Anolis sagrei: one gene and its partner. The protein of the gene in region 1 interacts with the protein of each later gene in a pairwise test. Links are inferred from orthologs where the notes say so. Each region holds a gene or a part of one and is shown in the gene's direction. Other genes may lie near its edges.

What was found.
Region 2: the proteins of TRIM37 (region 1) and PRC1 interact in binary tests that used the Homo sapiens proteins (3 or more experiments, as listed by UniProt). The link is inferred for Anolis sagrei from reciprocal best matches to the Homo sapiens genes TRIM37 and PRC1.

What each region holds. Positions count from the first base shown.
Region 1 is NC_090031.1:22,626,587-22,634,242, reverse strand, and holds the start of TRIM37 (E3 ubiquitin-protein ligase TRIM37), read left to right. Parts: upstream 1-4,640; 5' UTR 4,641-4,885; coding exon 4,886-4,906; intron 4,907-7,656. UniProt on the Homo sapiens protein: E3 ubiquitin-protein ligase required to prevent centriole reduplication. Probably acts by ubiquitinating positive regulators of centriole reduplication.
Region 2 is NC_090029.1:22,722,498-22,730,278, reverse strand, and holds the start of PRC1 (protein regulator of cytokinesis 1), read left to right. Parts: upstream 1-4,766; 5' UTR 4,767-4,869; coding exon 4,870-4,916; intron 4,917-7,134; coding exon 7,135-7,267; intron 7,268-7,781. Other genes in the region: VPS33B (vacuolar protein sorting-associated protein 33B), read left to right, coding at 154-233. UniProt on the Homo sapiens protein: Key regulator of cytokinesis that cross-links antiparrallel microtubules at an average distance of 35 nM. Essential for controlling the spatiotemporal formation of the midzone and successful cytokinesis.

The sequences.
Region 1 (7,656 bases):
GTTGTTTGGAATTTTGATGAGTGTTGTGCATACCTTGTGGGTTGAGGTATATGCACTGCAAATTTGGTGAGTTTTCGTCGGGGGGTTTTCGCGTTTTGCTGTCCCGTTGAACACCCTTTCCATTTTTATATATATAGATAATCATCATCATCATCATCATCATCATCTATATAAATAAAAATGTAATGTTCGTTTGTGGTATTCACAGAACTCAAAAACCGCTGGGAAAATTTACACCAAATTTGGACAGCATACACCTAACAACCCAATGTATGTTCTTCACTCATTTTTTTTTATTTTGTCATTTGGGAGTTGTAGTTGCTGGGATTTATAGTTCGTCTACAATCAAAGAGCATTCTGAACTCCACTAATTATGGCATTGAACCAAACGTGGCACAAAGGATTCCCATGACAAATAGAAAACACTAGAAGGGTTTGGTGGGCATTGACCTTGAGTTTGCGAGTTGTAGTTCACCTACGTCCAGAGAGCACTGTGGACTCAAATAATGTTGGATCTGGACCAAACTTGGCACAAATATTCCATATGCAGAAATATGAACACTGATGGAGTTAGGGGGAAATAGACTTTGACATTTGGGAGTTGAAGCTACTGGGATTTATAGTTCACCTACAATCAAAGAGCATTCTGAACCCCACCAATGACAGAATTGAGGCAAACTCCCCACACAGAACCCCCATAACCAACAGAAAATACTCAAGGCCATCCAGTCCAACTCCCTTCACCAGGGCAAATCAAAACCCTCCTGACAAAGAGCCATCCAGCCATAGATATAGATAGATATATATGATTCACACACACACAGTTATAGTATCATAGATTTTAAAGGGCTCCGTAAAGAAGGACAATTATACAGGGTTAGTCAAAATGCATAGGCCAATAAGCCATTCAATTGAATGGCTTATTGGCCTATGCATTTTGACTAACCCTGTATGTTGCATGTTACAGAGTAGGCAAACCAGACAATCTCCACATCAACATTGATAAAGAAACAGCAAGAAATACTGTTTACCCACAACCATAAAGAAATTAGATATATTAGAAACCAACACTTTCTCATTACTTGATTTTCCAGATCACCAGACTGGGCCACAGCAACGCCTGGCAGGGGACAGCTACTACTAATAATAATAATGAAACCTTACTTACTTACTTAGGTGATCCCTCATTGTCCGAGTAGGATTGTCTTCCAAGATCGGTGTACTTGCGGTGGTTCCGTAGGTGACTGTGAAGCCCTATTCTTGACCTGCATGTTCTCCCACAGTGAGGGCATCGGTTTCCATGTGGAAAGCAGTCCTGGTCGGGGTTGGCTTGACGCACCTTCCTCTTGGCACGTTTCTCACTTTCACCCTCCATTCTGCCTCTTCAAATTCTACAGCACTGCTGGTCACAGCTGACCTCCAACTGGAGCGCTCAAGGGCCAGGGCTTCCCAGTTCTCAGTGTCTATGCCAGAGTTTTTAAGGTTGTCTTTGAGCCCATCTTTCAATCTCTTTTCCTGCCCACCAACATTCCGTTTTCCGTTCTTGAGTTCGGAGTAGAGCAACTACTTTGGGAGACGGTGGTCGGTCCAGCGGAGTTGATAGCGGAGGAGCATCACTTCAGTGCTGGTGGTCCTTGCTTCTTCTAGCATGCTGACATTTGTTGCAAGCAGTAGTATGGGTGTTAGAAGGGGAGAAAGGGGTACTCGTGAGCAGGAGTCAGATGAGGAACAACAAAGGAAAAGGATCCGGGATATACTTATGGCACCTACCGATGAAGACTCATTCGAAGGGTTTTCCGGGGATGAAGGGTCAATGAGTGAGGGAGAGGAAGACGATACAATGGATGGGAATAGGGGAACAAAGAGGGTTACCTGAGAGCAAGAATCGGATGAGGAGCGACAGAGGAAGAGGATATATTTACTGCTCCCATAGATGAAGAATCATTTGTAGGTTTCTCTGGGAGTGATGGGTCAGGGAGCGATGAAGATGGGGATGACACGTTGGACTGGACTAAGGTAAAAGAGATACAAACTGTATGTGCAGAGCCAACGTCTAGTGATACATTTGTAGGGTTCTCTGGTAACGAGGACTGGCAATCGGGGAATACATTTGAGTCTTGTGTGGGGGAATCTAAGTCTTGACAGAAGTTGGAGAAGTTGGAGGGATGGGAGTAGGAATTCACGTGTGGAGTCAAGAACAGCTGTAAGAGATTATGATGGGGCGGAGGTCAGCTCATCTTCTGATGATGATGTGTAAGATAAAAGTAGGCTCTGAAATGGGGAATCTTTGCAGAAGGCAAGGTGTTGGTTTCGTCCGTGCATTGGGTACTTGTCGCTGCCTGTCATGTTGGTATTGGGTCCTGCATCTACAGGTTACTGCTTCCTTTCGTGTGTGTTTCTGGCCTACAACTCCCAGAAATCCTAGCCAGTTTACCAGCTGTTAGGATTTCTGGGAGTTGTAGGCCAAAAACGTCTGGGGACCCCAGGTTGAGAAGCACTGCTGTAGACCATGGCCATATAGCCCAAAAAACCCCACAACAACCCAGTAATGTTAGTTTGTGAGATTCTCAAAAACCACTGGACGAATTGACACTAAATTTAGACACAAGACACCTCTCAGGCCAACAAGTGACCACTTATAAAAACACTGGAAAACACAGCAGAAGAGACTTAAAAATAATAATAAAAGGGTGCTGTCTCCTTTCTGTTGAAATTGCCTGCATGCTTGTGGATTTCTCTGTATGGTCTGAACATAGCAAGTGGTTTATTTTATTGTTGTGTCAGAGCAACCAGTCCATTATATTACATTTCTAACAGAACAAAGTAAACAAACAGAAAGATACACAACTTGTGAATTTGGTAGTTGATTAATTGTCCTTTGACCAATATCTGTCTACTTGGAGTGCCTCTGATGTTGCTGCAAGAAGGTCCTCCCTGGTGCATGTGGCAGGGCTCAGGGTGCATTGCAGCAGGTGGTCAGTGGTTTGCTCCTCTCCGCACTCGCATGTCGAGGATTCCACTTTGTGGCCCCATTTCTGAAGGTTGGCTCTGCATCTCGTGGTGCCAGAGCGCAGTCTGTTCAGCGCCTTCCAAGTCGCCCAGTCTTCTGTGTGCCCAGGGGGGAGTCTCTCATTTTGTAACAGCCATTGGTTGAGGTGCTGGATTTGGGCCTGCCACTGTTGGACTCTTGCTTGCTGAGGCATTCCAGCGAGTGTCTCTGTAGATCTTAGAAAACTTTGTCTAGATTTAAGTCGTTGGCGTGATGGCTGATACCCAAACAGGGGATGAGCTGGAGATGTCTCTGCCTTAGTCCTTCCACTATTGGCTGCTACTTCCCGGCGGATGTCAGGTGGTGCAATACCTGCTAGACAGTGTAATTTCTCCAGTGGTGTAGGGTGCAGACACCCCGTGATAATGCAGCATGTCTCATTCAGAGCCACATCCACTGTTTTAGCGTGGTGAGATGTGTTCCACACTGGGCATGCATACTCAGCAGCAGAGTAGCATAGCGCAAGGGCAGATGTCTTCACTGTGTCTGGTTGTGATCCCCAGGTTGTGCCAATCAGCTTTCATATGATATTGTTTCTAGTACCCACATTTTGCTTGATGTTCAGGCAGTGCTTCTTGTAGTTGCAACATCAACTCCGCTGGGCCAGCCACGTTGTCCGGATGCCTGACCACCGTCTCCCAAAACAGTTGCTCTACTCCGAACTTAAGAACGGAAAACGGAATGTTGGTGGGCAGGAAAAGAGATTGAAAGATGGGCTCAAAGCCAACCTTAAAAACTCTGGCATAGACACTGAGAACTAGGAAGCCCTGGCCCTTGAGCGCTCCAGCTGGAGGACAGCTGTGACCAGCAGTGCTGCAGAATTTGAGGAGGCACGAGTGGAGGGTGAAAGAGAGAAACGTGCCAGGAGGAAGGCGCGTCAAGCCAACCCCGACCGAGACCGCCTTCCACCTGGAAACCAATGCCCTCACTGCGGAAGAAGATACAGAGCAAGAATAGGGCTCCACAGCCACATACGGACCCACAAGGAAATCCATAATGGAAGACCATCTTACTCGTCCAATGAGGGATCGCCTAAGTAAGTAAGTAAGTAAGCTTCTTGTAGGTCAGAGAACGGTCCAGAGTGACTCCCAGATATTTGGGTGTGCTGCAATGCTCCAGTGGGATTCCTTCCCAGGTAATAATCCACAGAGCTCAGGATGCTTGTCTGTTCTTGAGATGAAAGGCACATGTCTGTGTTTTAGATGGATTAGGGATCAGCTGGTTTTCCCTGTAATAGGCAGTAAGAGCACCTAGAGCTTCGGAGAGCTTCTGTTCAACCATCTCAAAGCTCCCTGCTTGAGTGGTGATGGCACGATCATCAGCATAGATGAAACTCTCTGTCCCTTCTGGCAGTGGCTGGTCATTTGTGTAGATGTTGAACATGGATGGAGCAAGCAAGTGGTGGGATTAGCCCAGCCTGCCTGGGTTCTCCAATCATATGCTCCCCCGCATGCGCAGTGCGGTCCTTTCCCGGGTTGCCCTAGCGCGCATGCGTGCTGCGGTTTCCTGGCGGCCGGCGAATGCAGCAGAGGCGGCGCGCGGGGAGGCAGTGGCGGCAGCGCATGCGCAGTGAGTGTCAGGCTGGGTCTGTTTTCTTTCCTTCCTCCCTCCCTCCGGCCCGGAGGAGCGCCTCTGAGGGGAGATGGGGGGCGGCTTGGCGGGGGGCCTGCGGGGGCCTGGGGGGCCGTGAACGCGGGAGACTCCATGGGCTGACCCAGGCGTGTGTTTGCCTCCCTCAGAGAGGCCGGCGGCGGAGGAGGAGGAGGAGGAGGAGGAGGAGGAAGAGAAGAGAAGAGAGAGAGAGGCCGAGCGGGCCTAGAGGGAGGCCGGCCAGCCATGGACGAGCAGAGCGTGGAGGTGAGCAAAGGCCTGCTTCTCATTCACGGTTGGGCCTCCCTCCACACATAGGAATCATTCACAGACGCACATTACCCTTTATACAGTCTCCTGTGCTATACTCAGAATATAAAATATTGTATATATATATATCATGTGTTTGTGTAGTCTCCTGTGCTATACTAATACTAATAATACTATACTAATACTATACTAATAATAATATACTAATAATATAATATAAGGTAATGCAACTCCAGGCAGTCATGCCGGCCACCTGACCTTGGAGGTGTCTATGGACAACGCCAGCTCTTCGGCTTAGAAATGGAGATGAGCACCACACCCCAGAGTCAGACACGACTGGGCTGCATGTCAGGGGAAAACCTTTACTAATACAGTATATGACTACTGCTAATACAATATTATATATATATATACTGTATATGTATATATATATATATATATATATATAACATGTAATATTACTAATTATCAATATAGTAATATATATATATGCTGTATTGTCGAAGGCTTTCATGGCCGGAATCACTCAGTTCTTGTGGGTTTTTTCGGGCTATATGGCCATGTTCTAGAGGCATTTCTCCTCTAGAACATTTCTCCAGGAGAAATGCCTCTAGAACATGGCCATATAGCCCGAAAAAACCCACAAGAACTGAGTATATATATGCTTCTCGTTCAGCGTTGGGCCTCCACGCATAGGAATCATTCGCAAACGCACACACACACACACACACATATTACATGTAATATTGCTAATTATAATGGTATAGTACAATATAGCAATATATATAATAATATTGTGCTATTCTAATGATATAATATATTGTATGTATATATATCATGTGTTTGTGTAGTCTCCTGTGCTATACTAATACTAATAATACTATACTAATACTATACTAATACTAATATACTAATAATATAATATAATATAAGGTAATGCAACTCCAGGCAGTCATGCAGGCCACCTGACCTTGGAGGTGTCTACGGACAACGCCGGCTCTTCGGCTTAGAAATGGAGATGAGCACCACACCCCAGAGTCGGACACGACTGGACTGCATGTCAGGGGAAAACCTTTACTAATACAGTATACGACTACTGCTAATACAATATTATATATATATATATATATATATATAATATTACATGTAATATTACTAATTATAATGGTATAGTACAATATAGTAATATATATGATAATATTGTGCTATTCTAATAATATAATATATTGTATGTGTATATATCATGTGTTTGTGTAGTCTCCTGTGCTATACTAATACTAATAATACTAATAATACTATACTAATACTAATATACTAATAATATAATATAATATAAGATAAGATAATGCAACTCCAGGCAGTCATGCCGGCCACCTGACCTTGGAGGCGTCTACAGACAACGGCAGCTCTTCGGCTTAGAAATGGAGATGAGCACCAACTCCCAGAGTCGGACACGACTGGACTGCATGTCAGAGGAAAACCTTTACTAATACAATATAGGACTACTGCTAATACAATATATATATATATATATATATATATATATATATATATATATATATAAAACATGTAATATTACTAATTATAGTGGTATAGTACAATATATTAATATATATAATAGTATTTTGCTATGCTAATGATATAATATATTGTATGTATATGTATCATGTGTTTGTGTAGTCTCCTGTGCTATACTAAGAATACAATGTTATCTATATAAATAAAAATGTAATGTTCGTTTGTGGGATTAACAGAACTCAAAAACCACTGGACGAATTGACACCAAATTTGGACACAAGACACCTAACAACCCAATGTATGTTCTTCACTCAAAAATGATTTTGTCTTTTGGGAGTTGTAGTTGCTAGGATTTATAGTTCACCTACAATCAAAGAGCATTCTGAACCCCACCAGCGATGGAATTGAACCAAACTTGGCACACAGTTCTCCCATGACCAACAGAAAATACTGGAAGGGTTTGGTGGGCAGTGTCCTTTGGTTTTGGAGTTGTAGTTCACCTACATCCAGAGAGCACTGTGGACTCAGACAGTGATGGATCTGGACCAAACTCTACATGAATACTCAATATGCCCAAATTTGAGCACTGGTGGAGTTTGGGGGAAAATAGAATCTTGACATTTGGGAGTTGTAGTTGCTGGGATTTATAGTTCACCTACAATCACAATCACAGATCATTCTGAACCCCACCAACAATAGAATTGGGCCAAACCTCCCAAACAGAATCCCCATGTGGGCCACAGCAACGCGTGGCAGGGGACAGCTAGTATATATACATAAAATATTTATAATATTATAATGTAATGCAATACGAATCTAATAGTAATACAATATTAATATATATTTTATATTACTAATATTATTACTAATAATATTACAATATGGTATTATAATATATTGTATATACATATAATATTTATAATATTATAATGTATTACTAATAATAATACAATATTATAATTATATATGTTATATCACATGTAATATTACTAATAATATTACAATATAATGGTATAGTACAGTATAGTAATATATATAATGATATTGTGCTATGCTAATAATATAATATATTGTATTGTTTATACATATAATATTTATAATATAATGTAATACAATATAATACTAATAATAATAATACAATTTTATAATTATATATTTTATTTTACATGTAATATTACTAATATTGTTATAATTTTTATAGTTTTTATAGCTTCTATGATTTTTATATG
Region 2 (7,781 bases), on another chromosome or scaffold:
GATAAGAAATTCAGCCTTGAGTTATCAATGGAGATCTGAGGCTTTTAAGGAACCAACAATTGAATGGAAAACTGCTGTTGACTTTCTACTGCTATGTTATAGAAAGTGTTCAAGAAAGTTAATTCTGTTACATTCTCCTCCTTCTCCTCCTAGGGCTCCGGTTTGTGTTCCTGACCACAGCCATCACCAACAGCGTCCGATTGCTAGAGGCCACAATGGAGGGCAAGGCATGACTGGACAATTTGTATCTATTTATTGAATTCATAAACATAAAACTCCTCCAGCACATCTCTCTCTCTCTCTCTCTCTCTCTCCAAGTTTTTATTTACTGAATGCAGACCCTGCCTTTCCTCTGCTCTGCCGCTTCTCCTTGCTTTGGGCAGCCGATATAATAATAATAATAATAATAATAATAATAATAATAGTAATAATACACTTTATTTATATTCCACTCTATCTCCCCAAGGGAACTCGGAGCGGATTACAGTATACACATATGTAGGCAAACATTCAATGCTTTTTATACAGTGAACAATGACATACAATATATAAACAAAGGCTACACGCAGATGTGCAAGTTTCAAATGTGATGTAGTAAATGTGAAGTTTCATTTTCTATAATTTATACTCCTATTTTATAATGTCTTGTTATATATGCCAATAAAGGCCTATTGGATTGGATATAAACAAAGGCAAAGGTTTCCATCTCCGGCATCTGGACGCGATGCTCAACTCTGGTCATGTGGAGGTGCTCTTGTTCCATTTATCCATGCTGAGGAGTCTGTTGTATGTAGACCCTCCTAGTCGTGTTTACTGGCATGGCTGCAGGGTGCCTTTTGCCTTCTCGCTGAGGCAGTACCTATTGATCTACTCACATTACATGTTTTTGAACTGCTAGGTTGGCAGGAGCTAAGGCTAACAGCAGGAGCTCACCCCGACCCGTGGCTTCGAGCTGCTAGCCTTCCGGTCAGCAAGTTTTTCTGCAGCTAGCGGTTTAACCTGCTGTGCTACCGAGGCCCCATATTTATTTATTTATTGAATTCATAAACATACATCAAACAGCTGCTTGATGTTCAGGCAGTGCTTCTTGTAGGTAAGAGCACGGTCCAGAGTGACTCCCAGGTATTTGGGTGCGCTGCAATGCTCCAATGGGATTCCTTCCCAGGTGATCTTCAGAGCTCGGGATGCTTCTCTGCTCTTGAGATGAAAGGCACATGTCTGTTTTGGATGGATTAGGGATCAGCTGGTTTTCCCTGTAATAGGCAGTAAGAGCACCTAGAGCTTCGGAAAGCTTCTGTTCAACCATCTCAAAGCTCCCTGCTTGAGCGGTAAGGGCATGATCATCAGCATAGATGAAACTCTCTGTCCCTTCCGGCAGTGGCTGGTCATTTGTGTAGATGTTGAACATGGATGAAGCAAGCACACTCCCCTGAGGCAGGCCGTTCTTCTGTTTCCGCCATCTGCTTCTCTGGCCCTGGAACTCAACAAAAAAGCTCCTGTTTTGTAGCAGGTTTCCTATGAGGCAGGTGAGGTAGTTGTCCTTTGTGATATTATACATTTTTCTCATGAGGAGGTAGTGGTTCACAGTATCATAGGCTGCTGACAGGTCTATGTGCTGAGTCAGGTTCAGCCCTTGCGATGTGCAACTTTTGCCTTTCCTGAAGCCAGCTTGAGGTGGAATCAGACATGGGTCTATTTTTTCCATAATTCTATGCAAAATAAGTCTCTCCAGAACTTTGTAGAGGTGGCACAACAGGGAGATTGGTCTGTAGCTTTTTGGGTCATTACGGTCTTTGCCTGGCTTCAAGATGGCGATGACTCTTGCTTTCCTCCAGATTTTGGGGATCTGACAGGATGCAGTGCAGTTGTTCATCAGCTCCAACAGCCAGCGGAGTGGGTGCCAGAAACAATATCATACGAAAGCTGACTGGCACAACCTGGGGATCACAACCAGACACAGTGAAGACATCTGCCCTTGTGCTGTGCTACTCTGCTGCTGAGTATGCATGCCCAATGTGGAACACATCTCACCACACTAAAACCGTGGATGTGGCTCTTAATGAGACATGCCGCATTATCACGGGGTGTCTGCGCCCTACACCACTGGAGAGATTACACTGCTTAGCCGGTATTGCACCACCTGACATCCGCCGGGAAGTGGCAGCCAATAGTGAAAGGACCAAGGCAGAGACATATCCAGCTCATCCCCTGTTTGGGTATCAGCCAGCACGTCAACGACTTAAATCTAGACATAGTTTTCTAAGATCTACAGAGACACTTGCTGGAACACCTCAGCAAGCGAGAGTCCAAAAGTGGCAGGCTCAAACCCAGCACCTCAACCAATGGCTGATACCAAATGAGAAACTCCCTCCTGGGCACACAGAAGACTGGGCGACCTGGAAGGCGTTGAACAGACTGCGCTCTGGCACCACGAGATGCAGAGCCAACCTTCAGAAATGGGGCCACAAAGTGGAATCCTCGACATGTGAGTGTGGAGAAGAGCAAACCACTGACCACCTGCTGCAATGCAACATGAGCCCAGCCACATGCACAATGGAGGACCTTCTTGCAGCAACACCGGAGGCACTCCAAGTGGCCAGATACTGGTCAAAGGACATTTAACCAACTACCAAACTCACACATTTTGTATTTTTCTGTTTGTTTGCTTTGTTCTGTTAGAAATGTAATATAATGGACTGGTTGCTCTGACACAACAAATAAATAAATAAATAAATAAATAAATAAATAAATAAATAAATAAATGGCTGCTATTATTATTATGTTAACTTAATATGTTTACTCTGAAAACGGCTTCCATTGAAAGCATTTCCATGCAATTTTAAAAATATACAAATATACAAACATTAAAACAGAACTAAATTAATATCACTGATATTTTTTAAACAACTTAAAACCCATAAAAACATATTTGAAATTAAATGTTGTTTAATGTATTACACAAAATGCCTGACGATCTCTGCTAGGCATAAGGCTATAAAGGAGGCATGGGCAAACTTTGGCCCTCCAGGTGTTTTGGATTTCAAACACCTGGAGGACCAATGGCATTGTTGGAGTTAAAGTCCAAAACACCTGGAGGGCCAAAGTTTGCCCATGCCTTCTATAACAGAATGTGAAATTGACCAGTTATACATAACCTGGTGGTGCAATGGGTTAAACTGTTGAGCTGCTGCACTTGCTGACCAAAAGGTCGGTAGTTTGAATCCAGGGAGCAGGGTGAGCTCCCACTGTTAGCCCCAGCTTCTGCCAACCTAGCAGTTTGAAAACATGAGTATATCAATAGGTATCTATCCAGCGGGAAGGTAATGGTGCTCCATGCAGTCATGCAGGCCACATGACCTAGAAGGTGTCTAATGCCGGCACTGGCTTAGAAATGTAGATGAGACCACCCTCGAGAGTTGGACACGACTAGACTTAATGTCAGTGGGGAACCTTTACCTGTTTTGTAATTAATTACATAACCCTACAAAGCAAAGGTGTTAATGATGTAAGGTTATAATTAAAACAAAAGGATAGATCGCTTTTGTCCTCTTTTGGTACAACTGTAACACATGACATCATCACAATGTTTACTATAATTGTATATATTTCAAAGTGCTGGCTTTAGCCTATAAAGCCCTAAACGGTTCTGGCCCAGCCTACCTATCTGAACGCATCTCTTCCTACGAACCCTCCAGGAAGTTAAAATCATCTGAGGAGGCCCTGCTCTCAATCCCGTCTGCTTCGCAAGCAACGCTTGGCGGGAACGAGAGACAGGGCCTTCTCTGTGGTGGCCCCTCGGCTGTGGAACTCCTTGCCTAGGGATATTAGATCAGCCCCTTCCCTCCTGACCTTTCGTAAGAGAGTGAAAACCTGGTTCTTCGAGGAGGCATTCGGAACCCCGGAATAGATAGTCAAGCTTGAGATGGAGAATGACTCAGGAACGGCCAAGACAACGAAACGGATGAGGATTGGAATGAGAGGATATAGCTCTTTTTAAATTGTTATTGCACTGTCTTTTTTGTCTAAATGCACTTAATTGTTTTTGCTTTTGTATTGTATTGATGGCATCGAATTGTGCCGATATGTAGACCGCCCTGAGTCGCCTGCGGGCTGATATGGGTGGGAAAAAGTGATGTAAATAATAAATAAAATATTATATATAATAATTTATATATTACATTATAAATAAATTGTTTATTTTATTGTAATTTTATATATATATAATTATAATTACACTAATATATAACAATTTGTTTATAATGTAATATATAAATTATATATAATATAATTATATATATATATATATAATTTAGATATATAAATTATAGGAATTATAAATAATGTTATATATTATTGTAATTATACATATAAATTATATATATAAATTATACATAATAATTTATAAATTACATTATAAATAAATTATGTTATATATTAGTGTAATTATATATATATATATATGTATATGTATATGTATAACAATAATATATAATATAATTTATTTATAATTCCTCCTATAATAAGGATGAGGCGTTGGGCTCCTGGGAGGCTTCTCTGGATTCAACTGAGAAGTTCAAGGATGTCCTAGAGCCACACCCCCCGGCATCTGACTTCTGATTGGTCCGAAGGAGCGCTGGAGGGCGTGTTCTTCCTTCGGTAGGGCGCGTGGCTTGATGGAGCCAATCAGAAAGCGACGGCGGGGCCTTCCTCTCGGCGGGGGGCGTGGCTACGTGGCGCGTCATCGGAAGCGGAGCCAATCAGGAAGCGGCGCGGAGTATTTGAATCTAAGGCGGAGCCCAGCACAAAACGGTCGCTGTCGTTTTCACCTCCGTCGCCGTTGCTTCTTGACCCAGCGAGAGGAGGAGGAGGATGCAGGTCCCGGAGCTGGGCAGAAGGCCGGGAGCCATGCGGAAAAGGTAGGGAAAATAGGAGGGGAGGGGGCGTGTTTTCCTGGGCCTCTTTCAAGCAGAGGCCGGGTGGCCATCTGTCGGGAGTGATTGTATTGTGTCCTCCTATCTGGCAAGAAGAAGAGAGCTGCACTGGATGTCCTTCAGGAGTCCCTTTCAACTCTGGGAGTCCAGTGGAGTCTCCTTTTCTGTAGTTCTTCAAGCAGAGGATGGGTGGCCATCTGCTGGGAGGGCTTTGCTGGTGACTCTGCGTGGCAGAAAGAAGGGGGTCAGCCTAAATGACCTTTGGGGGGCTCCCTTCCAATTTGAGAATTCTCTGACTACGGCTTCCATAAAACTTATACTACTACGGGGCTGCAGGGCCGTCTATCTGGAGGGATTGGATTGTGTCATCCTGTTTGGCAGAAAGGGGTTGGACTAGATGACCTTTGGGGGTCCCTTCCGATTGGGGGATTCGATTACTTATGGCAGGTATGGGCATAATAATGCAGAATAATAATAAAAATGCAATATAGAATAATAATTATTATTATAATAATAATGCAGAATAGAATAATAATAATAATTTATTTATTTTTCATGTCAGGAGCAGACCAAATAGTTGCATTGCAATAATAATAATGTGCCCCACCCCAGTCATTCCAGAGATATATAAACCCATTGTCCTAATTCCAACAGACCTCACAACCTCTGAGGATGCTTGCCATAGATGCAGGCGAAACGTCAGGAGAAATGCCTCTAGCACATGGCTCTATGGCCCGTAAAAACCCACAAGAACCTAGTGATTCCAGCCATGAAAGCCTTTGACAATACAATAATAATAATAATGCAGAATAGAGAGGCACCATGACTTCCCTCGATGTAGTCCAGGCAAACTTTGGCCCTTCAGGTGTTTTGGACTCCCATCATTCCTAACAGCCTCAGGCCCCTGTATTTTTTAATTGTTCATTTTAATTATTGTATTGTTTTTAAGTGTTTTTTGCACTAAAAATAAGATACGTGCAGTGTGCATAGGAATTCGTTCATGTTTTTTTCAAATTATAATCCGGCCCTCCAACAGTTTGAGGGACTGTGACCTGGCCCTCTGTTTAAAACGTTTGAGGGCCCCTGGTCTAGTTTTTCAATGAATATCTCATCACTGAGCTTTAACCAAACCCAACCTAGTTTGTGGCAGCCGCAAAAATGAAGTTTTTGGAGTAGAATAACTACTGCCAGAGTAAGTGCCGCACTATTGAACGGGAAAGAACACTTTCAAATCAAGAACAGTTATTTTTCCCAAATTTTATTACATAATATTACTGTTTATTATTGCAATGCCTTGTTTTATTCTTATTTTTTTTTACAAATTCATATAATGGCATGTTTAGCCTGAAGAAGAGAAGGCTGAGATATGATAGCCATGTATAAATATGTGAGAGGAAGCCACAGGGAGGAGGGAGCAAGCTTGTTTTTTGCTTCCCTGGAGACTAGGATGCGGAACAATCTGAACACGAGGAAGAACTTCCTGACTGTGAGAGCCGTTCAGCAGTGGAACTCTCTGCTCCGGAGTGTGGTGGAGGCTCCTTCTTTGGAAGCTTTTAAACAGAGGCTGGGTGGCCATCTGTCAGTGGTGATTTGAATGCAACATTCCTGCTTCTTGGCAAGGGGTTGGACTGGATGGCCCATGAGGTCTCTTCCAACTCTTTGATTCTATAATTCTATGAAAACAGTGCCATATGCTGGGCTTCACTGGAACTGCACAAAGGGCCTTTTCCATGGGGCGTTGGGTCCGCTGCTTTCAGAGATAGGGCTGTGACCCCTCATAATATGGGATTTCTTTTGGATGCAGGAGCCCCACAAATGCCTTGAGTCGTGGAGGGAAGCCCTCATCACTGCAGCCCTTTGGCCAGACCTTGGAAGTTGGGTTGCCAGTCATATAGGATGTTAAGGGACGGTCCCATATTTGAATGACATGCCCATGTCCTATTACATTCCTTCCCAAGATGCCAATTATATCCTATTTCCACCAGCTCTCCCCACTTTCTCCCAAGAGTGGAAAAGGTTGGGATGTTGTTGTGTGGCTTCTGCGCCCTTTCCTTAAGCGGCTGAGGGGGAAAAGGAAAGGGCCTGAGGCTGTTAGGAATGATGGGAGTTGGAGTCCAAAACACCTGGAGGGCCAAAGCTTGCCCAAGCCTGGACTAGATGGCATTTGGGGCTCCCTCCTAACTTTGCTTCTGCTTCCCTGCAGCGAGGTCCTGGCGGATGAGTCGGTGGCCTGCCTGAGCCAGGCCTTGAGGCACCTGCATGACATCTGGGAGGAGATCGGCATCCCCGAGGAGCAGCGCCTGGAGCGCACTCAGGTGGTCCGGAAGCACGTCAAGGTGGGCAAGGCCAAACGGATGGGGAACCGATTCATTTCAAATGGCATGGATATTTATTGGATGATAGGCTACAAGGTGATATCACTGAAAGGAGAACCACATACACTCATGGATTTATTAAGGAGGACTGGGAGTTGAAATGGAGATATATATATATATATATATATATATATATCGGTAAAGGTTTCCCCTGACATTAAGTTTAGTCGTGTCTGACTCTGAGGGTTGGTGTTCATCTCCATTTCTAAGCCAAAGAGCCAGCGTTGTCCATAGACACCTCCAAGGTCATGTGGCCGGTATGACTGCTTGCAGCACTGTTACCTTCCAAGGCGGTACCTATTGATCTACTTACATTTGCATGTTTTTGAAACTGCTAGGTGGGCAGAAGCTGGGCGTAGCAGTGGGGAGCTCACCCCTGCTCTCCAGATTTGAATCGCTGACCTTTTGATCAACAAGTTCAGCAGCTCAGCGGTTTAATCCTGTGCCACCAGGAGCCGATATGTGCGTGTGTGTG